7 linked regions of the Canis lupus familiaris genome follow. The protein of the gene in region 5 purifies or fractionates together with the protein of the main gene of each other region. This does not show direct contact. Links are inferred from orthologs where the notes say so. Each region holds a gene or a part of one and is shown on either strand. Other genes may lie near its edges.

Region 1 (3,434 bases), about 2.8 Mb from region 5:
AAAGATGGTAGGTGGCATCTATAACTGGAACCCTGAGCTATCATAAACAAGAGGTTTTGTTGTCATTTCTTTGCAAGCCTCAGCCAACAGATTTAATTTTTCTTTATCGTTTGCTAACTTTAATATTCTTCCTCTTCTCCAACCCCTCTAACAGCAGATTGTGGGAAAAGCATAAACTGCCCTTAAAAACAAGAGTACTTATTAAAAGCACAAGGAAAAACAGCTGCCATTTAGCCTAATTTTTTCAAAGTAATCTCACACATTATTGAACTATGTATGATCTCTCCAGAGTTTTCTAAGTTGGCTTACATCTTTACTGGTCAACAAAATACCATAGAATAAAACTAATAAAACAAGAATACACTCACAATTCTTAGGCTGGCAGTGACTTTGAAGCTGCCTAAAATGTGGAAAGAAATCTAGTAATCACAAGTACTTTTGCAGCTTCTTTTCTAGGATAGCTGTTAGTTTATACAAGAAAGAATGTTTAGGATAATGGAAAAAACAGTAACTCATCAACATTTAAGAATAGTTTTAGATGCTCCTTAAAAAGATATTACAGAGTGTTATGGCAATTGTTAAAAAAAAAAATCAGCTTTCAAAACAAAAAGAACCTGGGGGTCAATTATAGGGTGATGAATGGTTAACTAGCCTTTTGGGGGTAATATCACTGTTTAATTTTTCCAAAAGTCAGTTTGGGGTATCATTCTGAATCAAAATACTGGCCCAGATTGCCTCAAATATGCTAGTTAAGATATGCCATAGCTCAATACAGGCAGTATATTTATACACTAATGTTAAAATGAGTAACTGTATCTTTAAACACCAGTGAATGATTAATGCTAGGAGTGAAATAAAACTTAAAGCAATAAATCCTCAGCACAGTGGGCTGAGAGAAGGTAAGACCTTTATAAACTTTTGAGGTTCAGAACCTTACATCTGGACAATTAAGTGAGGAAAGGAGCCAAAGACAGAAAAACCAGAAATAAGGATGGGTCTGAATGAGTCATTGATGATTTCATTTTCCCCAAAAAAAGATGATCAAAAATTGACAGTCTCAAGCGCTCGCAGTCCCTGTTTTGAATTTGCTTAAGCTGCCAAGGCACATGTTAAGCTACGTGTTTAGGGTGACAAGGCAAACCGCATGGAAGCACAAGAAAGCAGGAGAGGGTTATCCATTAGTACTGGACAGAGCTCAGAGCCTTTAAAGAGGAAATGTTCAAAAGTATTAACTTTCATCTCTGGAATCTCAATTCCCTACCACAATATTAAAATCAAAACTAGGAGAAAGCCTGTAGTTGTTATTTAAGGAAATGTTAAAACTAGAACTAATGCCATCTTAGAAGGGTTAGTTAGGTAAGAGAAACAAAAAATGGAACACAGACAAGGAGCAGATGCTATGGTACAAACAGCTTCTCCAATGGTTTTGAAGACAGTGTTTCAATGAGAACCAAAGGTACATTTCCATTCTGAAGCAAGAGACTCACATTTTTAGTTTCTCTTCTGCTGTCCTGAATTAACTGTTAAAAGATATGTTAAAACATGCAGTTTAACAAGCAAAATTTAAATACCAATAGCCTGAATTTCAAAAGTGCAGGATAATTTCCTCTTTAAATTATTTTTGTGTGCATCTTTATTACAAGCAAAGGCATGTCAACAATAATTTATAAAGTATACGCTGTTATATAATTTAAGATTCCTATTAGAATGAAATGATTTAACCTTAGCACAATATCCCACATTAATGTTCTGCTATTACTGTACAGTGTGGTGTCTCCAGATGATTATGTTGCACCAAACAACTAGGCATGCAGGCTTAGATTAAGAATCAGAACAGACCTTGCCATCAGCCTCAGCAGAAGCAGCAGGGGAGGGCTCCTGGGAGGCAGGTGCCAAAGCACTTGGAACTTTATAAGACTAAAGGCAAAAAATGCAGGGAAAGAAAATCAAGGATGCCAAAAGTGCATTCAGAAACGTTCTATAAATGTAAATTTTTCCTCTCTGTATCAAAATAGTAAAGTAACATGAGAAATAAAAGTAATTATGGGATAGAAAATTATGGCTTATTCGTATTTCTTATTGTCACCTTCGTTAAAAAACCTTCAGATGAATATCTAAGAAAAATCCAAATTCAAAAACTTCATTTTTATTTTTGGAATCTGGTAAGATCTTTTCTGGTAAAGAATTCAAGATAACACATTTGTATACACACATTTTAATCTATGCAACTGTTACAGAAAACCAAAACCTATTATGTGCACATTATCTTCTCTCCAAAATGCCTTGTTATAGTAAAGTCATTTCAACTAATTTTACAAAGTTGATAAAGTCACCATAAGCTTTGTTTCAAAAGCTCAATATTTTGGGGTGCCTGGGTGGCTCAGCTGGTTAAGCCTCTGACTACTCCCAGTTTCAGTTCAGGTCATGATCTGGGGGTCTTGAGATGGAGCCGCGTGTTGGGCTCTTCTCAGCCTGGAGTTTGCTTGAGATTCTCTCTCTCATTCTTCCTTGATCCCGCTCCCCCTCTCTTGTGTGCACTGTCACTCTCTTCTAAAATAAATCTTTTTAAAAAATAAATAAAAGCTTGGTATTTAAAATTCACCTTTAAGCATTTTTTCTAATGTTTTCAAGATACCATTATCTTTTACTTCAACCTATTTTTAAATAAACTTGCATATCTTCACCCAAACAATGAAACAGTTCCAATGAAATAGTAAAGGGAGACGAAGAAAAGACTATTCCTAGAACTGAGTAGTATTAAGGCTTACCAATCAATCCTTTGCATATTGGGAATATACTTTTAAAATACTGTTTTTTTTACCTTGTCTCGTGATACAGCTGAAGGTAATTCTCTTGCTAGCCTGTTTCTCCTTTGTTCCTATAAAACACAACCAAACCAAACCAAAGTGATTATCAGAGCACTGAGATGGAAGCCTACTAAAAAATGTTCAGCTGAATTGAAAAGTGTGGATAACTTACAGTATATCCTCTCACTGTTGGGACTCATGCCACAATTTTATTTTAAAACAAACAAATCATTTAACCCAATGCTTCTCAATCTTTTTTTCTGCCCAACACACCTGAAGGATACAATATAACGTCAGTTATAGTGGCTCCCTGTACCAGGGATTCTCAATTGAGGGGCAATGGGCCGACATCTCTGCCTTTCCCACTAGGCGTCCATGGTTTCAGCTGTCCCCACATAAACGTGTGCATAAGCCTTCAGCACACCATGCGGAATCTTCTAAGCGCACAAATGACAGAAAACGTAAGCCTTTAAAAATCACTCTACCCTGCACACCTCTGTGTTAAATTCACACAATTCCCACCCACAAAACCCTGAATACTGTGGTAGAGGTTATCCTTTCAGGATGTTCCATTTCCTTTATTCTAAACTCTCCCAGAATAAAAGTAGAGAAAAACCTAATTTAACA
Region 2 (4,157 bases), on a different chromosome or scaffold from region 5:
AGCCTCCTCCCCTCCCACCCCCACAACTATCCAGATCTGGGGGGTGGTGTCATCAATCCAATTTATTGATCATGTCCTCGGTGAGGTGGAGGAAGGGTCACGTCCTTCCACTGCAGACCTTGACCATCCTGACGGCTTCTACTGTCTCCTGTCCCTTGGCCCTGCCTTGGTTTACCAAGAAGGGGGGGGGTCTCTGCCATCCTACATGCCCTGAAACTAACACCCCAGAGGAGGCCTGGAAACCTGCAGAGTTTCCCAACTTTCCCCCACCCAAGGCACAGCCAGGGGCAGAGAGGTCATGAGGATCAGGACCAGGAGAGCAAGGCGGAGCAGGGATAGGACAGACCAAGTCCTTTACGGCAGAGGACAGAACCACACTGTGGAGGGAAAATAAATAGAGGGGCCCAGGGTGGCAGAGTCCAGGCCCCCGGGTGAGAGTAGCGGGTAAGCAGAAGCCCCAGCACACCGGCTCCAGGCCCCTTGCCCGCCTCAGCCGCTGAGGAAGAGACGCTTGTAGGCCTTGTTCATCTGTTCCAGGAAGATGAAGGTGAGGACGGTGTGAGGGCCCAGGCGGGCATAGTACGGTGTAAAGCCCTTCCACAGGCTGAAGAAGCCCTCATAGCGGACAACCTTCACCAGCACGTCCTAAACAGGCAGGCAGGCAGGGCGCTGGAACCAGGATCTGGCTTCTAGGGCTGTATCCCTATACCCATGGCCCTCCCCACCCTCCTGCCCCAGCCCCCGGCCCCGCCTCTGCCTCCTCACCAGCCCATTCTTGTATTCTGGTTTCCCGTCAATCATTCTCATATTCTGGATCCTAGAGAAGAGGACACAGAGGTATGAGAAACATAAAGCAGGTCCTCCCATTCTGCTCCAGGACCAAGCCTGCACAACTCACCGGGTCTTGACAATGTCCACGGGCATGGAGGCAGCAGTGGTGACCAAGCCACTGATCATGCTGGCACAGAAGTGGCACAGGATGTTGTCAGAGAAGTAGCCTGGGGGAGGCGAGGCAGGGGTGACAGTCAGTGCGGAGCTGGCCCGGGGCAAGGCCGGGGGCTGAGGGCCCAGCTCTGGGTCTCACCTGAGTCCAGTAAGAACTGCTTGGATTGGGAGTAGGAGGCGAGCTGAGCTGCATTGACCACAACAGCACGAGCCATGGTAGGGATGCAGCCCTGTGGGGAGCGGGGACGGGGGTGAGGTTGTGGTGTCAGAAATGGCTGAAACCTGCCCCCTCCTGATCCCCAGTCTCCATCCCCTTCACTCACCCTCCATAATGTGGGGACTCCCTCCTCCCGGGCGATTCGGATCAGGGCATTAAACACATTTTTGTAGCCACGGCGCTGGTCAGGTGGAAGCCTAGTGGGAAGGTGGGGAGAGGCCAAGCTCAGGATACACCACTCTGCCCCACAGGAGCAAAGAAAGGGAGGCCAGGACACATTAGTGCTCTGCTCCAGACCAAGAAATCCATTCTGAGTCTAGATTCCAGGGAACAGAGCTAGGGCAGGCTCAGACCTGGAACTCACCGGCCGTCGGCAGTCATGCGGATGAGTGCCACCTCAGCTGGCGTTCCCACAAAGGCACCAGTTGCACCTGCCGTCATGCCAATCAGGGCCTTCAGCAGAAAGCCAGGGGGTGTACCATCAGCCCCCGTCAGGCGCTCAAACAGCACCGTATAGATGCCAAGGCGGGTGGTGGTGTAGGTGGCCTGGCGCAGCAGGCCAGCTGACAGCCTGGGGAGCGAAGGGGTCAGTGCATCAGGCCCAGGTCTGGAGTTGCCAACCCATACCCTACGCCCCCATCTTGTGGCCCCAGTACCCAGTGTAAATGCCCCTCAGCCCTTCTGCCCTCAGGATGCTGGTGAGGGCATGGAAGCTAGTTTTGTACTCTCGTGTCTTGGCTCCCTCTCCGCTCAGCTGCATCCGGTTCTTCACCAGATCCAGCGGTTGCACAAACACCGTAGCTCCCATCCTGGAAGAAGACAGAAGCAGGGTCAAAAGCCAGGTGTCCCTTGACTACCGTCCTATGCCCACTGGAACCTAGCAACGAGATGTCACAAGGTACAGGGCCTGCCACGTGATTAATTAAGTGTTCAGGAGGCTAGTGGCTATGTGTGTAAGTCTCTGCGTGGACCAACAGCCACAGGTCTGAAAAGTCCAGCAGTCCAGCGAGGGCCATACAGTGAAAGTGTTCCACGGAGTTCCAAGGGGGTCAAGTGGTGACCTGAAACTGCCTGCAGTCCCACCCAGAGAGAGGAGAGGGGGCACTCATGACCTGCGGCTTCGCCCAGTCCGACAGGTACCATGCAATGACCTGGAACCGCACACGATCCGGGAGAGCCAAGCAGTGGGTGCGAAACTCCAGAGAAGGCCGGGGGGCCAAGCAAGGAGGCTGCGAGCAAGGAGGGTGCACGCAGCCCAGCGGGGGCCGTGCATTGGGTGAGAAGTCCTGGCAGCCATCAAGAACCTCGGCAACGCGCTGGGGACCGCGCTGACCCCGTGCCGCACACCCGAATCCCAAGCGGGCCCGACTCCTTGCAACCGGCCCTTCCTCCTCCCTTCCCGGCCCCGGGGCCCGAGCTTACCCTGCCAGGCCCCCAAATAGGAACTTGACGGACTTAGGGGAGGTGCGGGGCTTCCCGTCCACCCCGCCGGCCCCAGGACTCGCCGTCGCCGCCATCGCCGCTCAGTGGCCCTCGGCGCCGGGTCCTGTGCGCGCGCGGTCCCACTCGCGCCCAAGGTGACACCGCGCGCGCAACAGGGCCGAGGGCGCGCGCACGCCCCTCCGGCTCTCGGGTCCAGCTCCAGCTGGAAGCCGGCGCAGGCGCAGGCGCGCGGCGCAAAGGCGGCCGGGAGAAAGGCGGAGCCGAAGGCGGGGCCTCCAGGAGGGGAGCGGGAAGGGGTGTGGCCGGCTCAGGAAGCCATAGCTTAGACGCAGTTTTCACGAGATTGGACTCGCGGGAAAATAAGAGGGTATGGAGATCTCGCGAGACAGAGTGCGCCTGGGAAGCCAGAGCGAGGTGTGGAGGTTGGCCTGGGTATGGGGTGGGGAAAGAGGGTGTCTCTCGCGATAGCACGCAGCGAGCATTCGGAGGGTGGGAGGGAAAGTGTGGCGAGGACTCTCGCGAGACTGGAAGGTACCGCGGCCGCGGCGGCGGCGGCGGGCCCGGGATGGTGGAGAGGTTCGTAAATCGGACCGCTCCGAGATCCCGGGCGTCAGAGGGGGAACGACTAGGTCGTCTGCTGGGGCTTGGGCGCTCGCTGCATCTGCAGAGGCACGCCCTCCACCCACCCTCCCTCCACTCCCAACCTTTCCTTTGACAGGCCTTTCAGGACCGGAAGTCCTTCCTCTTGAGCGCCCAATGCCGGAGGCGGCCTGACTTTCTTTCCCGGAAGCCCTTTTCCAGCCGCGAGGAAGACAGTTCACCTGCCCGGAAGTCCCGCCTCTCGGGGCGTCCCCACCCTGCCAGAAGTTCTCCTGTCACCTGTGCCGGCTTCCGGGCCCCCTTCCCGGGTTTGTCCCTGCGCCCGCGGAGGATCTGTTTGGTGTCTCCCTCCCTGCTCCACGGGCCGGGCTGGGGACCCCGCTCCCGGACCCAGGGTTCGACCCCCGCGCCCCCATGTAGCTGGGAAGCGGGGCCTGGGGGTGGTCGGACCCCTGGGATTCTGAAGGGGGACGGAGAGGGCGCGGAACCCCGCTTGTGCCGCTGCTGCCGGGACGCGGCGTCCTCGGGATCCCCCCGTCGCTGCCATGCGCCCCGCGGCCTTCCCGCTTCCTGTGGTCGTGGCCGCCGTGCTGTGGGGAGCGTCCCCCGCGCGGGCGCTCATCAGAGCGGTGAGTCTGGGGACCTGTGCGCGAGGGGACGCCGGGGGCGGGGCTGCAGGGGTGTCGTCCCCCGCGCGGGGAGGGGGCGCCGGAGGGCGGGGCTGCAGGCTCCTGGGGGAACACGGGCTCTCCTGTCCGCAGACCTCCGACCACAATGCCAGCATGGACTTTGCAGACCTGCCAGCTCTCTTTGGGGCTGCCCTGAGCCAGGAGGGACTTCAGGTGATTGCTTTCCCTTTGACCCTTTTCCCTACATCCTCTCTTGTGGGCGGGGAAGGGGATTAGGGCAGCCCTTTGCCCTCGCAGTGTAGGAAGTACAGGTGCAGGAGCGC
Region 3 (3,500 bases), on a different chromosome or scaffold from region 5:
ATTCCAAGCAACTAACCAGAAATATAGGCAGAGTTTTAAGGCACAAAGGTATTTGTGGCAGCCTTGTTACCCAGCAGAAAAATATGGAGGCTGGCCGGGGCCCCCAGAGGCTGGGTGAGAGCAGTGGAGTATCTGTGAGTTAGAGGCACTGGAGGAAGTGTTTTGAGGAAATTTTTGTGTTTGATGATACAGGAAAATGCTCAGGATATAACATTATTCTGAACCTTATACACAACAAGTTCTCAACTATATAAAAAAAAATAACCCAACATATAGAAAAAGGCAGGAAGGAAATGCCTCAAATTGTTAACAGTGATGACCTCTGGGTGACAGGATAACAAGTGGCTTTTGCACACATTCCAACTTTTCTCTAATGAGCAATATTATTTTTGCAATCGGAGAAGGTTTTTAAGATACCATGAAGCCAAAAATGCTCAGGGCTTTGGCATTTAACAGCTCCAGGCCTAAGTCCTAGCTCTGCAGCCTACTAAGTATCCGATAACCTTGGGCAATGACTTCACCTCTTGGAGCCTCAGGAAAGTGGAGAAAGCACCACGAACACCTCCTTATAGGGTTGCTTCGGGTTAGAGGAGGCGATGGGAACAAAAGAAGCAGGCCAGAGCTGTGGCAGAGGTGCTTGTTTTCTTCTCCTTCTCACTTTAGGGGATTTCTTAAAGAAAAACCAACTTCCACACAAGGAAACTAAAAGATCTTAGCAAGTTTCATTCTCAGGCAAGAATAAAAAGGGAGCCACACTCCTCTTAGCTTCTTACTCTGTGGATGCACCGCAAGCTGCAGCTTTGTGCGCCCATCCTCAACTGACACCTCCCCTGGTCATCTCCCTGTGGCTGGTGTTTTACGATTGTAGGGGGATCTCATGCTTCATGGGCTTTGCCCCTACGCTGCGCTGCAACCCCACTTACGTCAGGAAGTGCGGATGGTGCTTGATTGTGTCCTCCAACTTCTCCAGGAAGGTCAGATCCGTGGCCTCCCCAGGGCGCAAACATTCCTCATCCTGGGGTGTGTGACAGAAGGTGAGGGGTGTATCAGGGAAGGAGCTGGAGGGCTCAGGAGGCCCAGGGAATGGGGCAGATCGTAGGGAGCCTCCCACAGACAACTTCCAGACCAGGCCAACACCTCCCTTTAGGGACGCACAGCCCTGCCCTGTCCCTGCTCAACACCAAACTTGGGCCCTCTGTGGACATGCCTACAGGAAGGGAGTAACATCCTCCCACTCAGCCTCCAACATGAGGCCTTGGAGGAGCAGAGGGCTCACCAAAATGGAGATGATGCCCTTGAACTTCTCCTCCACCAGGTCACAGATGATCTTATTGTTGAAATATTGGACAGGCTCCCACTGAGAGACAAAAGGGAAGGAAGGCATCATCATGGGGTCCTAGCACCTCTTCTAGGAGACCCCATGCCTGGCTTCCTACAGGGTGTCCACAGGGACACCTGCAGGCTTGCACCCACCGCGATGCCCTCTGCCTCATATTCCTCCTGTTCCGACTTGAGGGTGAGCTCGATGAAGAGTTGCTGCAGCTTCTCATTGCAGTAATTGATGCAGAACTGCTCGAAGCTGTGAGGGAAACAGAAGAGCCCACAGTAGTTCAAGGGGTACACAGAACCAGGAGCAGGGGAGAGACACACAGAGCAGGACTCAAGGTGGCTGGGGGCATTGTCAGGAACACGAGGCAGGGGGAGGTGGGGACCAGGACAGGGCAGATGGGAGGAGAGACAGACAGGGGGAAGGGATGCTGACCTGTTGTGCTGAAATACTTCAAAGCCATAAATGTCCAGAAGCCCAAGGACTGTGGTGCTCCGCCAGCTGGGGCTCTCGGCATCCTAGGGCCAAGAGCATGGGTCCTGGTGTGTGATAGTTCCCAGCCCCAGGCCTCCCTGTTGCTTCGGAAGCAGCACCGGCCAAGCCCTCACCTTGGAGGCCAGCGACCTGTTGATCTTCCTGACCAGCCAGGTAAAAGTACGACTATACACAGCCTTGGCGAGGGCGTCTCGCACATACGCAGCCTGTTCCAGGTTCAGTGGGCTCAGGAGCTGCCGGCCAGGGTGAGACAGGAGAAGAATGCCACAGACTCCTTTCCATCCCCCTGCTCTATGGGCTCAGGGCCAAACACCAGAAAACCATGACCATGCTATCCTCCCGGCTCCCGGGAAGGATACACTGGGGATACACTGGGGAAGGCCACGGTGGCCACATCAGAGGGAAGATGGCACAGGGACAAGAGGCCTCATTCCCGGAGGTGGGAGTCCCAGAAAGAGGCCTTGGAACACCTGCACCCTTCAACCCCTACCTCCTGAGACAAAGGCTTGGCCTCACCTCTTCTCCCTTGGCGATAATTTTCCTGTGTGTCAGGGCTTCCCGCAACGTTGAGCCTTCTACGCCAAGAAGCTGCCAAGGGAGGAGGGGTGGGCATGGAGAGGGTGCGCTCCTCCTCACCCCGCCTGCTCTGCCCCTGCCCTTTGCTCAGTCCACTCACCCTGGTCAGATACTTGAGCTGGTTCTCGGTGGTGACCTGTGCATTGCTCTCCTCATCAGCAGCAAAGTGGATATTGCCCAAGTGCAGGACGCTAGCCACGATACTGAGCAGGTCCTGGGTGAACAGGGAGAGGGTGGGGGGCGTGTCACAGGAGGAGCAGACAGCCCATAAGGGCCACCAGTGACCAGTCAGATGGAACAGGTTAGAGGTAGGGGAGTGTCTGAGACAAGGGGGCTGTAAGTGGCCATGGGCTATAAAAGGAGACTGAGATTTTCAGGGTGTAGAGGGAGGGCAGGAAGGGACCCCAGCATAGGTCTCACCTCAATTTCATCTTCAGTGAAGTCAATGACTGTCAGAGCCTTCCTGACGACCTTCCAGTCACTCTTGTCATTGATGGAGGAGACTTTGGCACACTGGCCCTGGGTGAAGGGCAGGGTGGGTTACCAGCCCTGGTGCTGTGCTCCCTGGGCGGTGTCTGCCCTGCCCACTTGCTACTCACCTTCACCAGGTACAGGTAACTCTGGGGGTTCCGCTCTAAGCCCAGCCTGCGCAGCATCTCCTCCTCGCCCCCTTCCAGCAGCTGGTAGAAGACGTGGAAGTTTCTCTCCCCGTGGTTCTGGTGCACCACTCGGGACTTTTCCAGGAGGTAACTGAGGATGTGGCCACCCACGGGAGCACCCTGTGGGCAGCGCAGGACATGGTGATGGCTCAGGGGGCCTGGGGATGTGGCCCAGCTTCCACTCCTTCCTCTGCATTCCTGGCCTCTATTTCCAGTGCTGCCACTAGCTGCATGGACTCAGACAAGTCACCCCTTTCGGCCTCAACATCCTCATCTAAGAAATGAGTGTATGCAGCCCTATCTACCTGGCTGTTCCCCTTGGCTGTCTGACAGGCAGCTCACACCAACAGGCCTGGAACTGAACTCCTGGTATCCCCCTCCTCAGATGAGCTCCCCTCTTCCCATGTTGGCCATTGGTCACTCTGCCCCTCATGCTATGCAGT
Region 4 (4,257 bases), on a different chromosome or scaffold from region 5:
CGCACAGCCCATCACGGGTCCTTCCCCACCGGCCACTGATGCGCTGTTCTCAGATGCACGGGGGGGATTTGAAATCTCTTTCAAATCTTTTCTGTTTTCTGCAGCAGAGAATTGGCCGGTGTCTACTCGGCAGGATGTGAGATGTTGAAAGTCTCGTAGGGAAAAGTATACTTGGCTGCTCCGCTCCGTCTTTTCTCTTTCCGATGAAACCACGTTGTTGGGTAGCCCGAGATTTTGACCTAGGCCCGCGGGCTCGGCAGCTGTTGCCGCCCCCTGCTCTCCCCCCACCCCTAGCCCCTGCTCCCCCCCTCCCGTGTCACCCCCCTGCCCCCCCTCATGCCCCCGCCCCCTTGCTCCCCCCAGCCTCCCCTGCTCCCCCACCCCATCACCCCTGCTCCCCCCATGCTCCCCCCACCCCTACCCCCCTGCTCTCCCCATCACCCCCTTCCCCCCTCATGCCCCCGCCCCCTTTGCTCCCCCCCAGCCTCCCCTGCTCCCCTGCCCCATCACCTCTGCTCAACACCCCCGCCCCCCTGCTCCCTCCCCACCCGTCACCCCCTGCCCCTCGCCCCCCCCCGTCACGCCCCGCCCCCATTCCGCCGCCCCCCCTGCTCCCTCTACCTTGTTACCCCCTGCTTCCCCCTACACCCCCGCCCCCTGCTCCCCCCCATCACCTCCTGCTCCCTCCTGCTCCCCTGCCCACCCCCCTGCCCCCTCTGCTCCTTCCCCGCCCCCTGCTCCTCCCTACCCCCCTGTTCCCCTCGCCCCCTACCTCCCTGCTCCCCCCTTAGACCCCCTCCCTCCGCTGCTGCCTCCTGCCGCCCCTGCTCCCTCCTCGCCCGTCACCCCCTGCCCACCCCCCGCTCCCCCCTGCCCCTCTGCTCCCCCTGCTCCCCTGCTCCCCCTACCCCCTGCTCTCCTGCTCCTCCCACACACCCCCACTCCCCTTGCCTTCCGTCCCCCTTGCTCCCCCGCTCCTTGCCCTCCCTGCTCCCCCCCCCCCGCCACCCCTGCTCCCCCCTGCCCCTCTGCTCCCCCACCCCCTGCTCCCCCTACCCCCCTGCTCCCCCTGCCCCCGTCTCCCATGCCCCCATGCCCCCCTGCTCCTCCGCCCCTACCCTCCCTGCTCCCCCCGCCCCGCCCCCCCAGCACCCCCCAGCACCCCCAGCACCTGGAGCCGCAGCCGGGGGCCGGGCGGCAGGTGGGAGGCAGGCCGCGCCCCCCCACCCCGACGTGCGCGCCCCTGGGTCCCGGGCGGGGCTCCCGGCGCTCGGTCGCGGGGGGGCGCTGTGCGGCCGGCGGGGCGCGGGCGGGGGCGGGGGCGGCGGCGCGGGGCTGCGGGCGCGGCGGGGCGAATCCCAGGCGGCGAGGTCGGCGCCCCCGCCCCTCGGCCCACCCCTCGCCCCGGACAGGGGAGGGGCCGCCGCCGCCGCCGCCCCGCTCGCCGCGCCCCGGGCTCCGCGCACTCGGGCACTCGGGACCCGCAGGACGGCGGGCGGCCGGGTCGGAGCGGCGGCCGCGGAGCCGGGGAGCGGGGAGCCCGCAGGCCGGGCCCGGAGCGCGACCACCGCCCCAGGTAGCGCGAGCGCCTTCCCCGCGGCGGCCCGGGCGGGGGCGGGGGGTTGTGCGCGGGGCGGGGGGCGCGGGCGCGGGGTCCCAGGCGCTCTCCTCCTCCGGCCCCGGTGTCGCGGTCCCCAGCTCGCGCGGACCTCGGCCCCCTGCCCCGGGGCGGGCGCGGGGAGAACAATGGGGCGTCCGGGCAGCGGGCTTCAGGCGCGGCGTGCCCCGGCGGCGACCGCGCGGGGCCCCTTTGTTCCGCCGCGGCGGGGGGGCTGCCCCGGGGCTCGCTGCCGCCCGGGACGGGCCGCCCCTGGGTGCGCGGGGCGGGGGGGGGGGGGGCCCGGGGCGGGCGGCGGGGGAGCAGCGAGGGGAGCACGGGGGAGCGCCAGGGGGGCACCGGGGAGCAGCGGGGAGCACGGGGGAGCTCCAGGGGGGCACTGGGGAGCAGCGGGGAGCACGGGGGAGCTCCAGGGGGGCACCGGGGAGCAGCGGGGAGCACGGGGGAGCATGGGGGAGCTCCAGGGAGGCAGCGGGGAGCACGGGGGAGCTCCAGGGGGGCACTGGGAGCTCTAGGGGGACACTGGGGAGCACTGGGGAGCTTCAGGGGGCGCACCGGGGAGCACTGGGGGGCGCACCGGGGGGGGGGAGGCGGGGGAGCAGCGAGGAGCACCGGGGAGCTCCAGGGGGCCACCGGGGAACACTGGGGGGCGCACCGGGGGTCGGCGGAGGTGCACCGGGAGCAGCGAGGAGCACCGGGGAGCTCTGGGGGGCACCGGGGAGTACTGGGGAGCTCCAGGGGGCGCACCGGGGAGCACTGGGGGGCGCACCGGGGGGCGGCGGGGGAGCAGCGGGGAGCAGCGGGGAGCTCCAGGGGGCGCACTGGGAGCCCCGAGTAGCACCGAAGGGCGGCCGGGGGCGCCGGGGGCGGGGGAGGGCGTCCCGCACGCGGCGCCTGGGCCGGGTCCGGGGCTCCGCGGCTGGTCGGCGGCGCTTTGTTCCGCGGCGGCCGAGCGCGTCCCCGCCCCCCCCGCGGCTCCCGGCGCCCCTTCGCCCCAGCCCGCCCGAGCTGCGCGGAGCCGAGGGCGTCGCGGGTCGGGGCGAGGGTGGCCGCGTCCGGGTCCGGGGCAGCCGCGCACGGATCGGTTCGGCGCAGAGGGGGCGGCGCCGTGACGCAGCGCAGCAGAGCCCGGGAAGGTTTGGGGGCGCCGCCACGGTGCACCCGGTGCACCCCCTCCCTACCCGGGGCCCGCGATGCGCGCCCCCGACCCCCGGGCTGTGAGCGGAGCACCACCCCCACCCCAGGGTGGGCCGCCGGGGGCACGGAGGGAGCCGCCTCCGGATGCTCAGAGGGGTCCCGGCCTCCCTGTACACGCAGCGCCGTGCACACCTGTTGGGGGGCCCTGCTCCAGGTGGGCATGAGGGGCACACCTGTTGGGGAGCATCAAGGAGGCCGGGGAGGGGGTGCAGGTGGACCTGGAGAGGGAGCCGGGGCATTGGATGATGGGTGTCCTCCAGTGGGGTGCTCCCGGCTGACTGTTGGCAGGCCCCAGACACTTCCAGGCACTCCGGGTCCCTGCCTGTGGGACCCTGGTGGCCGAAGGATCCCCCAGCGGCGGAGGTTAGGACCCCGCGGTGGTAGCCCGGGAGACCGGGCTGCAGGTGGGCCGGCAGGTGCCCCAAGGACCCACGGGGTGTGACCCCCCCACACCCCGCCTTCACGGGGACAACCAAGTTCGAAAGCCTCTTAAGCTGAGAAGGGGAGTGGGAAGCTCACCCCCGGGAGGGAAGGAACACTTGCTGCCCACGGAGCATCCCACGGCATGGGAAAGGGTTGTAGGGGCGGGATGCGGGCCTCCTCAGGCCAGGCTGGGGGGCTGGGGGCTTGTCCTCCGGAGCCGGTGGCCGGGAAGCCGAGGTGGCCGCAGCCAAGCAGCAGGCGGTGTGCCGTCACAACCCACACCGCCCGGCGGCGCACCCGGGGGACAGGGAGCCTCTGTCCCCCTTGTTGCGTTGCCACTTTGGAGCTGTGGGCTGCTTTGTGGGGTACGGCACAGCGGGGCCCCCCAAGTACTCGTGGAACCTACAAGAACAGCAGCAGGCCTGAGACGGTGGTCACTGCCGCGGGAGCCACGGGGCACGGGCTCCCCCGTGGGTTGTCTGGCCAGAGGCTCTCCCCAGGGGTGTCCCGCCGTGTGGGGGGCTACTGGCTGCACCCCCTTCCTGGGTTGCAGTGAATCACCACTCTGTCAGGCCTGGTGTTCAGACTCCCCCTCCCAGGTCGCTGCACAGTTAGGTAAAGCGAGGAGGAGCCTCGGACCTCAGCGGGGAAGGAGTGGGGTGCAGGGCAGGAGCAGCGTGTCCTCTGTGTCCTCCCTATCCTGAGTGTGAGGTCCTGTGAGGTCCGGGTTTTTAGCATTCGGCCCCCTTTTGGGTGACATTCGCCCCTCTTCCCCCCGCCTTGTATTTTTAACAGCTTGGTGTTTGGGTTTTCGTTACGTACGTAGCCCACCGGTAGTCGTGTTCACGGTGTGGAACGGGTGTTGCGTGCATCACACCCTGCTGAGGACCCCACAGCCCGCTGCAGCCCCGGAGCTCACCGGCCTGCCCCTTAGGGCCCTACTCCTATAGGGAACCGGTAAGTGCCGGAGGTCAAATTTGAACTCCCATGTCTGGTTCGAAGTCCATATGCCTGTAAAT
Region 5 (3,978 bases):
ATATCACATTAAATGAATTCTGGAAAGAAACATTAATATTTACTTTTAAATTTACCTTACCTTCTTCAATTCATCATTCAGAAGTTTTAATTCAGCACTTCCAACTAACTCAACATATAAAGCATTAAAGGATGTGTGTGTGTGTATGTGTGTGTGTGTATATATATATATATATATATATATATATATATTACACCACAAATATGAAGAAATCTGAAGAAAAAAAAACCACTTTAAGTGGAGTATTAAAATATTGGTAAAGTGACCCCTTTCTATATTCCCTTGATAAGACCAATGATAATTAAAACTGATAATGTAATTGTGCCTAGCAAGGCCACAGTATTTGTAACAAATCACTGTACTTCTTACTTGCACGAAAAGCTTGTGAATTCAGAACGTATAGTGAAAAGAGATTCTGAAGGTATGTGAAGACTTGAGTCCTGGCTCTGTCATTAGCAATGTGGTACTTAGCTCTGGTAAAATGTAAAGGTAAAAATGTCCAGTGAGATTTCTGAGAGAGCAGTGTGATTCCAGTGAGAATTAAATGATGGGATAACATGCCTTTTGCAGACTAATACATGGTGGGGAAATGAATAATTCTATTCCATTAAGTAACCAAATCAAAAGACAATTCCTTATTTTCTTGCATACTTTGTCTCCGGTACCCACTGGACGAGGTATTAAGTGGCATTCAGAGCCACTCCATGCAAACATGTCCAGGTGTGGATAGCTTCTAAAACAAAGAATGAAGTGGTGGGTGGGTCTGTTCCAGCCTCCCCTGGATTCTCAAGTTTAGCACTGCCTCTCTGGACCCTGCACAGCAAGCCCTCCAAAGGTCCCGCGGGTTCTGAGTGGCACCCAACAGGAAGATCCTCTATACCATGCACGGAAGCCAAGGAATAGAAGCTGCCAGACAAGGCACTTCTGAACACCAAAGCAGAGGCAAGTGAGAAGGGATGATGTGGGAGGGAAGCAGCAAGCACAATGGGCCAGCTCTAAAATGTGACTCATATTTCATGGGCAAAATTCAGGCACTGGATGCTAAAACGAACAGTGTCTCTATCACGCCTCCCATCTTTTCATGATTTTGTTTGCTAACAACTTGAAAATCAATAGTCAGATGGGAGATGTTTCAGTTGAAGAAAATTTAAAATAACCATTTATCCCAAATGTAAATGTCCTCATTTAAAAGAAGCTAGGAATATGGTTCACCCAGACTAGACATAGCTGGATACAGAGATGAATGAACATAAAGATAAAGGTAGATACAGATTTAGAGATCCAGATAATTCCTACTTGCGTCTAGCCTCTCCAGTAAATATTAAGAAACACTGGCTTTCTGACTACACCTTGACAGAGTTCAAAGTTCAATTCTCTTTCTCTTCAGGACCCAACAACATGCAAGTGCCTGATTTCAGTTCTCTAAATCTCAAATTCTACAAAGGAAGTCAATATGTTAGCCAATCATTTGTTTTGACTGTAAATCATCCTCAATTATCATCTTCATTTTTTTTAATATATTGAAGGCATTTAACAAATTTTTGTGTTTCCTGTGGTACTGATTTTAAGTCTCACTTTTATATTCAGTTTATATGAAAAGAGTTGAAAAATACAAATATAAACTTACAGGAGGATGCTAAGACATCGCTTTCTTTAGATAACACAATGCACACTACAATTAAAGGCCAGAAATCTGTTCTCAAATTTAAAAAAGAAAGAAACAAAGCTTAAACCTATGAGAATTTGCCAGTTACTTCATTTTATTAATTTAATCATCATTAATTTTTTAGTGGCTAATTATTCTCCTTTCCCTAACTGTTCACAGCGGTGTCATCTCTAGAACATGCTGTTCTTGGTAAGATTCTTAGAATAATTTGATTAAATGCTGATACTGGTGAACTCATCTAGCCAATCACAGAAGTAAATTTCAACTTCTGATTATTTCCTACCCACCACCAACCATATTTTGTAGGTCAGTTGTATAAACCTACTTCTCCAAAACAATTAGGGAGCTCTTAGCGGGCCCTTTCACATCAGTAACATTTGACCATGACTTGTATCGCTTCCTTCTTCAAATCACAGTCAGTGGTTTGAGAAGCCAAATGCCAGAATTAACCCAGAACTTTTGGGTGTATAATATTGACAGAAAAACATCTATTTCCAGACAGAAAGGAGAACGGGTGACATGAAAACAACTCCTTTACCTGCTGCACACTAGCGACTCTCATATACAAGTCCAAGACGATCAACACAGGCACGTGGACTTTTTTGCCTTGAAATAACTTGGAGGCTGGAAGAGAAGGGGGTGAGGGAAAAAGAAGCAAAGTCACCATCCACGCACAGGGGATGAAACAGGGGGAGAAAGCAAAAGAAGTGAGCGCAAGACCTCCCTACAATTCTCAGCTCCTTTCTGCCCTAAGGAGTTGACAGTCTGTGGCTTCTCACGAGCCCAGGTTTGTGCAACTCGGAAAAACGCGAGGGAGAAAGTTTGCAAAAAAGAGGCGGGAGGGGAGCGGAGGAGAGAGTTTCCTTGCGACTCATTACCGTGGTCGGCGTACGTGAACACCAGCATATCCTCCAGGATTTGGACCAGGGTCTCTATCTGTTTTCCTTCCTGGACATTGTTCAGCCTGACTATCAACTTCTTCAGAGTTTCCTCGTCCTCCTCCTCGCAGCCCTGACAGCTGCCACTGGCCATGACGGACTCTGCTCCACGCGGGTCCCTCCCTCGCGGAGGCCGGCGGCTGGGGCCGGGATAGGGGCGGGGGTTAGAGCCGGGGGTTAGGGCTCGGGGTTAGAGCCTAGAGCCGGGGGTTAGGGCTCGGGTTAGAGCCCGGGGTTGGGGCTCGGGGTTAGAGCGGGGGGTTAGAGCCCGGGGTTAGCACCCGGGGTTAGAGCCCAGGGTTAGGGCTCGGGGTTAGAGCCCGGGGTTAGAGCCCGGGGTTAGGGCTCGGGGTTAGAGCCCGGGGTTAGAGCCCGGGGTTAGGGCTGGGGCAGGGCCTGGGGCAGGGGCCGGGGAGGTGGGGGGGGGGGTAGGGGGCGGGGTTAGGGACCGGAGTTAGGGCTCGGGGTTAGGGCTCGGGGTAGGGCCCAGGGTTAGGACCCGGGGTTAGGACCCGGGCCCGGGGCTCCGCCGCCGCTCGCGGGCACGAGCACAGCTCAGCGCCGCAGCCTGCGCTCCCCGCCCGCCCCGTCCGCGCCCACGCCCGCCGCTCGGGGAGGAAGGCCCCGCGCCCCGCGCCCCGCGCCGCCCTCGCTCGCCGCAGCCCTCCTCCCCGGCTGCCTCCTCCCCCACCAGGGCCGCAAAGAGGAGCTCAGCGGCCTGCGGAGGCTCGGCCGAGGGAGGGCGCGTGCGGCTGGGGCTGGGCCCGGCCGGGTGGCCCCGGTCCCCGACCCGGAGAGCGCCGCCTCCCGGGACCCGCTCCTGCTCCCCGCGGCGGCGCGGCCGGGAGTCGCGCGGGAGGAAACGGAGCCCCAGGCCCGGGCCCGCCGCCCCCGCCCCCGCCCCCGCCCCCTCCCGCCGCGCCCCCGCCCCCTCCCGCCGCCCCTGCCGCGCCCCGGGCCCCGCTCCTTGAGCGCCGCGGAGGGGCCGCCCGCTAGGAAACCTAAAAAATGAAAGCCGCCGCCTATCTCCAGATCTAAGAATAGAAATCTGGGCGTCGGGAAAGGAGGGCACCGCCCAGTTGGCCCCTTTTAGGAGAACATGTTCTTTAGAGTTCCCCCTATAGGGAAATGAATAATTTCCCACCAGGGATGGAGAGGGATTTCTGCAATCAAAATGTGCCCGGCTGAAGGCTCTTTTTTTTTTTTTTTTTTTTTTTTTTTTTTCCTGTGGTTGCTGTGGCTTTTTGTAGGGGAGCAAATCCCTTCCCACCCAGCCACCCATTCCTCCCGCCCCCTCAGTTATTTATCGTAAAGCTCCGTTGGCCAAAAGTTCACTAAAATTAACTTTTGGAAATTTGAGTTTGCGCTCCGTAG
Region 6 (4,232 bases), on a different chromosome or scaffold from region 5:
TCCCAGGGAAAAATGAGGCTCTGCACACCAACAGCTCCAGGTCTTGGCCGCTGCTCAGCCCACTGCTGTGGCTATAACCAAAACACCCAAATTGCAGCCCCGTGTCCACTCCTGGGATCAGTGCAAGGTCCCGGGCCAGCGTAGAGAAGACCAAAGCACGGGCAGCACCAAGGGCCCGGGCAGGTACCCGGCAGGGCTGCAGGGTTCTAGCGCCCCTGGATCAACAGTTACGGTCTCAAACCCTGTGAAGAACCTCATCTGTTAGCCCCGCTTCCCATGGCCTGAGGCCACCAAAGGGCCCGTCATTCCAGGAGCTCTTGTATCTCTCATCTCCGAGGACAAGTCCCGGTCACCAGGACCGAGACAACGTACCTCCTTTGCGCCCGGACTGCATCATCATCCGCCGCCGCACGGTGTCGAAGGGGTAGGAGACCACGCCGGCCACGGCCGTCACAGTCTGGGCGATCATCCAGCTCACCACAATGTGCGTGTTCTTGGGGTCTGGGAGCATGCCTGCGGGGTCACCAGCCAGCGTTAGGTTCCAGTGCCACACACACAGCGGGGCAAGAGCAGTACTGCCTGCCCTGGTGCCACGTGGAGCCCCCGCGACCAGGGAACGGCATGGAACCACCCGCAGGGCATAGAGCGGTCCCTGAGGCCCACGCTTAGTGCCTGGGAACGAACGGGCTCTCTCTACAGAGAGGGACAGGCGAGCCTGGTAAGTGCATGTACCACACAAGAGGCGGTTCTGCTGCACAGACACTAGCTTTCAGGGTGTGAACGGCACACCCTAATGTTCACGCTGAAAACCCCGGATACCTAAAAATAACTGCCTTTAAAAAACAGTGTAAAGCGTCTTCAGAGGAGACCCTAATCCAACACCATCAACACCCTGTAAAAAATCTAAACTCAGACGCACAGAAGAGGCCCACGTGAGGACACACGGACAAAACTGCCATCTACACACCGAGGAGACGCCACGAACGCCAGCAACCCCGTGGACGTGTGGATGTCAGACTTCCCACCCTGCAGAGTGCGGCTCTGCCAACAGCGGATCCCGGAGCCCCCGCCGCACGTGCAGCCCCACAGCAAGAACACACGTACCCTTGGCCGTGTCGTAGACGCCGAAGTAGGCCGCCCGGTAGATGATGATGCCCTGCACGGACACGTTGAAGCCCTGGTAGAGGCCCCGGATGCCGTCGGACTTGGTGATCTTCACCAGGCAGTCTCCAAGGCCCTTGAACTCCCGCTCGGTGCCCGACTTGCCGACGTCAGCCGCCAGACGGGTTCTGGCGAAATCCAGCGGGTACACGAAGCAGAGGGAGGTGGCGCCCGCGGCCCCGCCTGATGCCAGGTTGCCGGCAAAGTACCTCCAGAACTGCGTGTGCTTGTCCACGCCCCCCAGGAAGATCTGCTTATACTTATCCTTGAACGCAAAGTTGAGGGCCTGCGTGGGGAAGTAGCGGATCACGTTGGCCAGGTTGCCCCTCCAGAAGGACAGCACGCCCTGCTCCTTGGGGATGCGCACGATGCAGTCCACGATGCCCTTATACTGCTTGTCGGCGGCGATCTGCTTGCTGGCGTGCTGCACCTGCGAGATAGACGGGCGGACAGGCTCGTTAGAGGGCCCGCACGCAGTACCAGCCAGCGTCCCTAGGGTAGGCGAGTCCCTGGAGGGGAATTCCTGCATGTGAGCACGGTAGCTCCACGGGAGAGCTCATATCCCGGGGGGGCCTATGCCTGCAAGTGGAACCGCTCAACCGTGCACGGGAGGAGCGCACTGGGTCGACAGGATGGGGCACAGCCCAGGACACCACCGGTCAACCCAGCACCGGAGGGCACTCATCCCGGGAGGCGCGTCCCTGCAAGTCGGAACCGCTCATCCGTGCACGGGAGGAGCGCACTGGGTCGACAGGACCGGGCACACCCAGGACACTGGTCCCTGCAAGTCCGCACCGCTCATCCGTGCACGGGAGCGTGCACTGGCTCGACAGGACGGGGCACAGCCCAGGACACTGGTCCCCGCAGGTCCGCACGGGTCAACCGACAATGTTCCCACTGCCCCACCCGCAACAACGTTGCCAAGGACGCGCTGCAACAATGTTGCCAAGGAGGCGCTGCAACAATGTTGCCGCCAGCTGGCCGCGGGCGCAACGACTTCCCAGCGGAGCGCCGCGGCTCGCCGCCTCTCAGGCCGGAACGGGGCGGAGCAAAGTCCCGGCCTCCATCACAGGGGGCGCTCGCGGGGCTCCCGCGGTCCGCTCGGCCTCGACGGTGGGAACCGCGGGGGCGAGGCCCGCGCTCCGGGCGCCCGAGAGCTCTGCCCCAGCGCGCACGCGCGGAGAGCGCCACGTGACGCGCGGCCGGCCCGGCCCCGGAAGCGGGCGGCGCGCGGACAAAGCGGCGCGGCCTCGCACTTCCGGCGGCCGCGGGTCCCGGTGCACGCGGCCGGCCCGCCCCGCTGTCACCCCCCACCGCGAGCCCTCGCAGCACGCCCGGACCCCCCCCCCCCGACGGGACCGCCGTCCCGGGTCCCCGAGCGCGCACGCGCCGTGCGCACCTGCAGCAGCAGCTTGACCCGCTCGATCGGGGCCACGGCCGTCTTGGAGATGGCGGCGGCGATGCCTCCGGCTAGGAAGTCCTTGGCGAACGAGATGGCCTGCTCCGTCATGGCGGCGGGCGGGCGGGCGGCGGACGGCGGAGTGCGGGCGCGGACAGCCGGACGGACGGGCGAACCGAGGGAGGGAGGGAGGGAGGGAGGGCGCCGCTGGCTCCGCGCTGCCGCCGCCGGGACCGAAAGGACGGGGCGCCCAGCGCGCAGCCGCTAAGGGCCCGAAGCCCCGCCCCGCGCCCCCGCCCGCCGCGCCCATTGGCCGCGCCGCCCGCCGACGCCCCGCCCCTTCCCGCGCGCCGCGCCCCCGCGGGCTGCCGGGAGCCGCAGCGCGCCCCGCCCCGTGCCCGCCCGCGCCGCGCCCATTGGCTGCGCTGCTGCCGTTGCCCCGCCCCTTCCCGCGCGCCGGGCCCCGAGGCATGCCGGGAGCGGGACCCCGCCCATGCGCCGTGCGGCCCGAGGGCTCGGCCGCCGCCGTGACCTTGTGAAGGTCGCCGCGGGCCCTGGGCGCTCCCGGCGGGGGGAGGGGGCGGCGGCGGCGGCGGGTCCGCGAGCTCGGGCTCCTTCCAGCCGCTGGCCCCCCGGGCGCGCCCAGCACCGCGACCCTGACCCTGCGCGACCCGTCCCCCGACCGCGACCCCTTGGCCCCGTGTGCTGACCCCGAGGTCACGTCGCGGCCCCGGGCTCCTCTGGAAGACCCCAAGGTCAGCTCGAAGACCGCAAGGTCAGGTCGCCTGCCACCTGCACTTCCCCCCTCCAAAAGCCCACAGTCCCCACGACTGGCCGCCCGACCCGTCCTCACTCCAGCGCCCCGCCCACTGGCCCATGCGGACGCCCCAGACCAACCCCAGCGAGCCCAAGCCTGGGCCCCCCCAAGACCCCCGCGCCCTCATGTGGGGGTGCTGCAGCCCGCATGGATGGGTGACTCGCGGCGGCGCTCGCTGCACGGGGCCATGCTGAGCCGGCCACGCATGCACCTGTGCATTCGTGCACCTGCACACACACGGGGCACCTGCGCACGCAGAAGGCACCTGCACACGCACACGCAGACGGCACCTGTGCACACGCAGACGGCACCTGCACACACGCGTGCACCTGCACACAGAGGGCACCTGCACACGCACACGCACTTGTGCATTCGTGCACCTGCACACACACAGGGCACCTGCGCACACTCAGAAGGCACCTGCACACGCACATGCACCTGTGTGTCCAGCTGCACACGCAGACGGCACCTGTGCACACGCAGAAGGCACCTGCACATACGCGTGCACCTGCACACGCAGACGGCACCTGTGCACACGCAGAAGGCACCTGCACACACACGTGCACCTGCACACACACATGCACACACACCCCGGGCACCCCCAGGAGGGAAGCTCAAGCCCGGACACGGTGTCCTGCGGAACGTTCCATTGACCTTGAACCTCTTACTGGATTGTAACCGAGCGAGCGATCCGAGTGGAAGGTGTGTCGCTCGGAGTGGAAGGTGTGTCGCTCGCTGGCTTGGCCGCAGCGGGACTCCAGCTCCGGGAGGCGCCCTCAGGGCTCCGCCCGACTGGCTTTAGGCCTCCCTGTCTCTCTTCCTGTCTCTCTCCTGTCCCTGCCTCCGCTTCCGTCC
Region 7 (4,007 bases), on a different chromosome or scaffold from region 5:
TTTTAAAGCTCCAGGGTTGTGGAACTGTGAAACTTTTCAGAACGTTTTGCCCACAAACGAAGGCTTTGCTAAAGTGGTTCAGTAGGTTAAGCATCTGCCTTCGGCTCAGGTCATGGTCCCAGAGTCCTGGAACTGAGTCCCACATAGGGCTCCCTACTCAGTGGGGAGTCTGCTTCTCCCTCTCTGCCTGCAGCTCCCCCTACTTGTGTTCTCTTTCTGTCAAATAACTAAATCTTAAAAAAAAAAAAGGGGGGGGTGTGTGGGACAAATCTAAAGGAGGTATTTTCAAGTACCACTCATTATCTGAGGCTGATCTTAGCAAAGCCCACATTCTAGAAAATGCAGTGTAAATCTCAAGAAATACCAGATAATGGAGGAATCCATGCTCTAACATGGCCAGGTCTGAATCTAAAAGCCTTGGTTCTAACAGACTGTCAGCCACTGCCAATTATCTCATGTCCCCTCACACACAGGGCCCAGGAAGCATCTGAGTCCCCCCACTCCCCCAACCTATGTGTTCCTCAACACAGAACATAAAAACCTCTGGTGACCAACAAGGAAATGTGACACAAGAGCAGTGTGCCTCGGTAATTCTCAATCCTGACTGGACATTAGAATTATTCGGTGAACTTTTAGAATATACTAATAAAGGAATTAAAAGATATGAACTTCCAGTTACAGAAAGATGGACGGGGGGGTGGGGTGGGGACGGACAGCACAATGAATAGTTAATAATACCATAGCAACTTTGTATGGTGACAGATGGCAGCTAGATTTATCATTGTCATCACCACCTAACGTATATAAATCTTGAATCACTATGCTGTACATCTGAAACCAATATTATGACAACTACATTCTGATTAAAAAACCAAAAAACCAAAATGATGTCCTGGTCTCACCTCAGATACTGACTTAATTTGTCAGGGGTGGGACTGGGGTAGTGGTATAGTTTCCAAAGCTCCCCAACCGAGTCTAATGCATAGCCAGGCTTCAGAGCCCATGGCGCGAGATGATTCATACTGCCTGGGCCAAACCAAGGCATAATACTTACTGGTGCTAAAAGCGAATTTTGCTTGACCAGAACCAGACCACAATACATTTGTCAGGCATGTTCTTCTGGAAGCAGCAGGTCTAAGGGCTGCGGAGGCAGAGATGCCCCATGGAATAGCACTCACATGTCGGGCAATCTGGAAAGAGAAACACTTTATATTAGAAAGTAGCCTGAAGGCTGGCCCGGCTGAAAGAGCACCAGGCCATTGGGCCTCACCAATCCTTGTTCCTGTGAACTAAACACCAAACCCCTTAACAGTGTAGAATGAATCTCAATGTTCTTTAACATTCCTTTCCGCTTCCTTCTTTCTCAAGACTGCAAGAGGGGGATGGGGAGATGCTGGTCAAAGGGTACAAAGTTGCAGTTATGTAGGCTGAATTAGTCTAGAGATCTAATGTAGGGTAATGATGACTATACTTAATACTGTACTGAACACTAGGAATTTGCTAAGATTTTTTTTTTTTTAATTTACTTATTCATGAGAGACAGAGAGAGAGAGAAGCAGAGGGAGAAGCAGCCGCCATGCAGGGAGCCTGACATGGGACTCGATCCCGGGACTCCAGGATCAGGCCCTGGGCTGAACGAGGCGCTAAACCGCTGAGCCACCCGGGGTGCTCGGAATTTGCTAAGAGAGTAGATTTCAGGCACACTCATCACTCATCAAGCACAAGAAACGGTAATTATGTGAAGAGATGCTGGTCTATAGTAATCATTTCATTATGTATATGTATACAAATCATCTTGTCGTACATCTTAAATATACATAACTTTTATTTTTAAAATATATACATAATTCTTAAAAACCCTGCAAAGCAGAGGGGAATTATAAGACGATAAAGTCTCCACGCTCTTAAGAACACAGAGGATTCAAAAACCAAGGGGACTTGGCCAGGCCCTGCGTATTTACGCCCTTTACCAGCATGACCTGCTAATAAGCATGTTCTATCATGTCAAGGTTTTCCCAGAAAAGGCCAAGCCCCCACAGACAAGCAAACAAGTAGAGCAAAGTTCACACTCTGGGAAATTTTGAACAGGCCTCAAGGGGATTATTTTTTTGCTCAACTATCGCGTCTAGCATGACTCAGGGAAGAAGAGCCTTGCAGTTCAACCAAGCCAAGGAGAAGGGGGAGGGGGGCTACCAAAAGGGTACTAGGCTTTGCCGGGAGGAGGGGGACAGACCTAGGGGATGGGAGGAATGCCAAAGCGCAAAGTGCCTTTTGCACCTTAGCACTCCGTACTTCAGCACTTTGGTTTCCATCCACCATTTGGTAGATACTCGCTGCAACGCCCTGATGTTGGCATCGCTCTTTCTACCTTAAGGCGAGGACACTAAACCGAGGTTCCGAAAGGGGAAGTCACGTGTCCAAGGTCACAGAGTAGCTACAGAAAAGGGAACGGGGGCCAGGGCGCCTGCCTCCCGGGCGAGGTGCTCAGGGGCACGGAGGGCTGCGGACCCTCGACTCGGAGCGAGGAGGGGCTGGAGGAGCGGACGGGAACGGGGCGGGGGACGGTTCTGCGCAGGCGCACTCCCTACGGCCGAGGCCTCCGGGGCCGTTACCCGCTGGCGCCCTCCAAGCAGGGCGAAAGGCGCCCCCGGCCGCAGGGAGCAGGATCCTATGTGGGAAGCACGTCCTCGGAGCCACTGTTGTGTCTCCGCGCCTGTCCCCCGCCGGCAGGCACTCACCGAAGCCCGGAGGAACCTTCCCACCGCGGCCGCCATCTTCAGTGCGCGCGGGATTCGCGGGACTGGCGGGCACGCGGAGGGGGCGGGGCTTGTGGGGGGCGGGGCTTGTGGGGGCGGGCCCGGGGTGGGGCCTCCGGCGGGGGCGGGGCCAGGCCCAGGCGGGGGCGGGGCCCGAGCGGGGGGCGGGGCCGGGCCCGAGCTGGGGGGCGGGGCTGGAGTCCGGGCGGGAAAGATGACTTACTTCCCCACCTTTTTGTTTGGACCTTACTTGGGTCAACTCACCTGTCAAGTGCCTCAGCCCCAATTCCGAAGAGAAAATTCTAGGAGAAAATTCCCGTCGCGGCTTCTAAGTAAAGGAATGCTCAGGAAAACAATACCTTACTTCTAAGTGTCGCCCCATCCTAAAAAGGACTAATCCAGGTGGGGAGCTTCTGCTTTATATGGCTAACCTGTGTGGATAACTGTTTCTACCCGTCCTGCAAATGGCCTCGGTAGAGCCTTCTGGATTCTGCAGGAAACGGAATTAATTTTAATGCAATTTTTGTCCGTTAATAAGCCAAGTGGGCCAGACACATCAAGTTTTTGGGTTCTGAAAACTTTTGGGATGCTGTCTGGACTTCCATTGGCCTCTCTTCCCAAAACTGGAAGAACTGGGATACATTTAAATTCTATTTTCTGTCAATTAGAAAGCTAAGTGCTCAGTGGTGATCATGGTACTTTGAAGCAAGCTCATCAAACACAGATAAAAATCACACGTTGGCTTTTCGGTAAATGCAGATTCTAAGTAGGTATTTTCCGGATATCAGTCATTCCACTACCAACATAGTTTCTTGAATCTGCATATCATCTGCATATTATTTACTATTTTCTTTAAGTTGACTCAATTTTGAAAAACGTAAATGAATTTATTTGAAAGAATATGTTAAATAACTTAAATGGAAAACCTTATAACTTGCTATGCATAGAAAGTAATTAAAATAAACACATTAAAACAAAATGTTATTAAGTATCAAGTAGGTACAGTTGCCTGCTGAAAATCTGAGACTTTGTAAAAAGGGAAACGGAGAGATGGCTAGCAACATCCTGGTATCACATGGGGTTCTCTTTATGTTATAGGAAGAATTTAAAGAACATTAAAAGGGTAATAATTTTTTCACTTTGGGCCTTAATGTTATTTATTTTGCTCCTCACATAAATGCACTTGTATGCACCACTAGTACTGCAGTGGGTACCAGCCCCATGCTTTGGAATGGACTGCCTTAGAAGCTA

What was found.
Region 1: the proteins of LRRK2 (region 5) and DNM1L purify together in Homo sapiens (co-immunoprecipitation; 6 studies listed by BioGRID and IntAct, with this or other methods). This does not show direct contact. The link is inferred for Canis lupus familiaris from reciprocal best matches to the Homo sapiens genes LRRK2 and DNM1L.
Region 2: the proteins of LRRK2 (region 5) and SLC25A11 purify together in Homo sapiens (co-immunoprecipitation; 3 studies listed by IntAct, with this or other methods). This does not show direct contact. The link is inferred for Canis lupus familiaris from reciprocal best matches to the Homo sapiens genes LRRK2 and SLC25A11.
Region 3: the proteins of LRRK2 (region 5) and MYO1C purify together in Homo sapiens (affinity purification with mass spectrometry; 3 studies listed by BioGRID and IntAct, with this or other methods). This does not show direct contact. The link is inferred for Canis lupus familiaris from reciprocal best matches to the Homo sapiens genes LRRK2 and MYO1C.
Region 4: the proteins of LRRK2 (region 5) and MYO1B purify together in Homo sapiens (affinity purification with mass spectrometry; 3 studies listed by BioGRID and IntAct, with this or other methods). This does not show direct contact. The link is inferred for Canis lupus familiaris from reciprocal best matches to the Homo sapiens genes LRRK2 and MYO1B.
Region 6: the proteins of LRRK2 (region 5) and SLC25A6 purify together in Homo sapiens (co-immunoprecipitation; 3 studies listed by IntAct, with this or other methods). This does not show direct contact. The link is inferred for Canis lupus familiaris from reciprocal best matches to the Homo sapiens genes LRRK2 and SLC25A6.
Region 7: the proteins of LRRK2 (region 5) and PRDX3 purify together in Homo sapiens (co-immunoprecipitation; 3 studies listed by BioGRID and IntAct, with this or other methods). This does not show direct contact. The link is inferred for Canis lupus familiaris from reciprocal best matches to the Homo sapiens genes LRRK2 and PRDX3.

Annotation. Positions count from the first base shown.
Region 1 is NC_049248.1:30,406,259-30,409,692, reverse strand, and holds part of DNM1L (dynamin-1-like protein), read right to left. Parts: intron 2,879-3,434; coding exon 2,822-2,878; intron 1,918-2,821; coding exon 1,840-1,917; intron 1,837-1,839; exon of another isoform or gene 1,521-1,836; coding exon 1,488-1,520; exon of another isoform or gene 1-1,487. UniProt on the Homo sapiens protein: Functions in mitochondrial and peroxisomal division.
Region 2 is NC_049226.1:31,882,071-31,886,227, reverse strand, and holds SLC25A11 (mitochondrial 2-oxoglutarate/malate carrier protein), read right to left. Parts: upstream 2,801-4,157; 5' UTR 2,680-2,800; coding exon 2,585-2,679; intron 1,972-2,584; coding exon 1,819-1,971; intron 1,734-1,818; coding exon 1,527-1,733; intron 1,360-1,526; coding exon 1,269-1,359; intron 1,176-1,268; coding exon 1,085-1,175; intron 999-1,084; coding exon 899-998; intron 818-898; coding exon 766-817; intron 646-765; coding exon 490-645; 3' UTR 44-489; downstream 1-43. Other genes in the region: E3 ubiquitin-protein ligase RNF167, read left to right, coding at 2,975-3,019, 3,324-3,834, 3,967-4,047. UniProt on the Homo sapiens protein: Catalyzes the transport of 2-oxoglutarate (alpha-oxoglutarate) across the inner mitochondrial membrane in an electroneutral exchange for malate.
Region 3 is NC_049230.1:45,590,846-45,594,345, forward strand, and holds part of MYO1C (unconventional myosin-Ic), read right to left. Parts: intron 3,178-3,500; coding exon 2,998-3,177; intron 2,918-2,997; coding exon 2,819-2,917; intron 2,613-2,818; coding exon 2,499-2,612; intron 2,411-2,498; coding exon 2,339-2,410; intron 2,056-2,338; coding exon 1,936-2,055; intron 1,846-1,935; coding exon 1,763-1,845; intron 1,580-1,762; coding exon 1,474-1,579; intron 1,358-1,473; coding exon 1,277-1,357; intron 1,016-1,276; coding exon 924-1,015; intron 1-923.
Region 4 is NC_049258.1:1,637,215-1,641,471, forward strand, and holds the start of MYO1B (unconventional myosin-Ib), read left to right. Parts: upstream 1-1,457; 5' UTR 1,458-1,576; intron 1,577-4,033; exon of another isoform or gene 4,034-4,195; intron 4,196-4,257. UniProt on the Homo sapiens protein: Motor protein that may participate in process critical to neuronal development and function such as cell migration, neurite outgrowth and vesicular transport.
Region 5 is NC_049248.1:33,158,482-33,162,459, reverse strand, and holds the start of LRRK2 (leucine-rich repeat serine/threonine-protein kinase 2), read right to left. Parts: upstream 2,801-3,978; 5' UTR 2,699-2,800; coding exon 2,545-2,698; intron 2,291-2,544; coding exon 2,205-2,290; intron 1-2,204. UniProt on the Homo sapiens protein: Serine/threonine-protein kinase which phosphorylates a broad range of proteins involved in multiple processes such as neuronal plasticity, innate immunity, autophagy, and vesicle trafficking.
Region 6 is NC_049260.1:869,270-873,501, forward strand, and holds the start of SLC25A6 (ADP/ATP translocase 3), read right to left. Parts: upstream 2,801-4,232; 5' UTR 2,672-2,800; coding exon 2,561-2,671; intron 1,592-2,560; coding exon 1,105-1,591; intron 514-1,104; coding exon 373-513; intron 1-372. UniProt on the Homo sapiens protein: ADP:ATP antiporter that mediates import of ADP into the mitochondrial matrix for ATP synthesis, and export of ATP out to fuel the cell.
Region 7 is NC_049249.1:29,700,318-29,704,324, forward strand, and holds the start of PRDX3 (thioredoxin-dependent peroxide reductase, mitochondrial), read right to left. Parts: upstream 2,801-4,007; 5' UTR 2,775-2,800; coding exon 2,739-2,774; intron 1,191-2,738; coding exon 1,055-1,190; intron 1-1,054. UniProt on the Homo sapiens protein: Thiol-specific peroxidase that catalyzes the reduction of hydrogen peroxide and organic hydroperoxides to water and alcohols, respectively. Plays a role in cell protection against oxidative stress by detoxifying peroxides.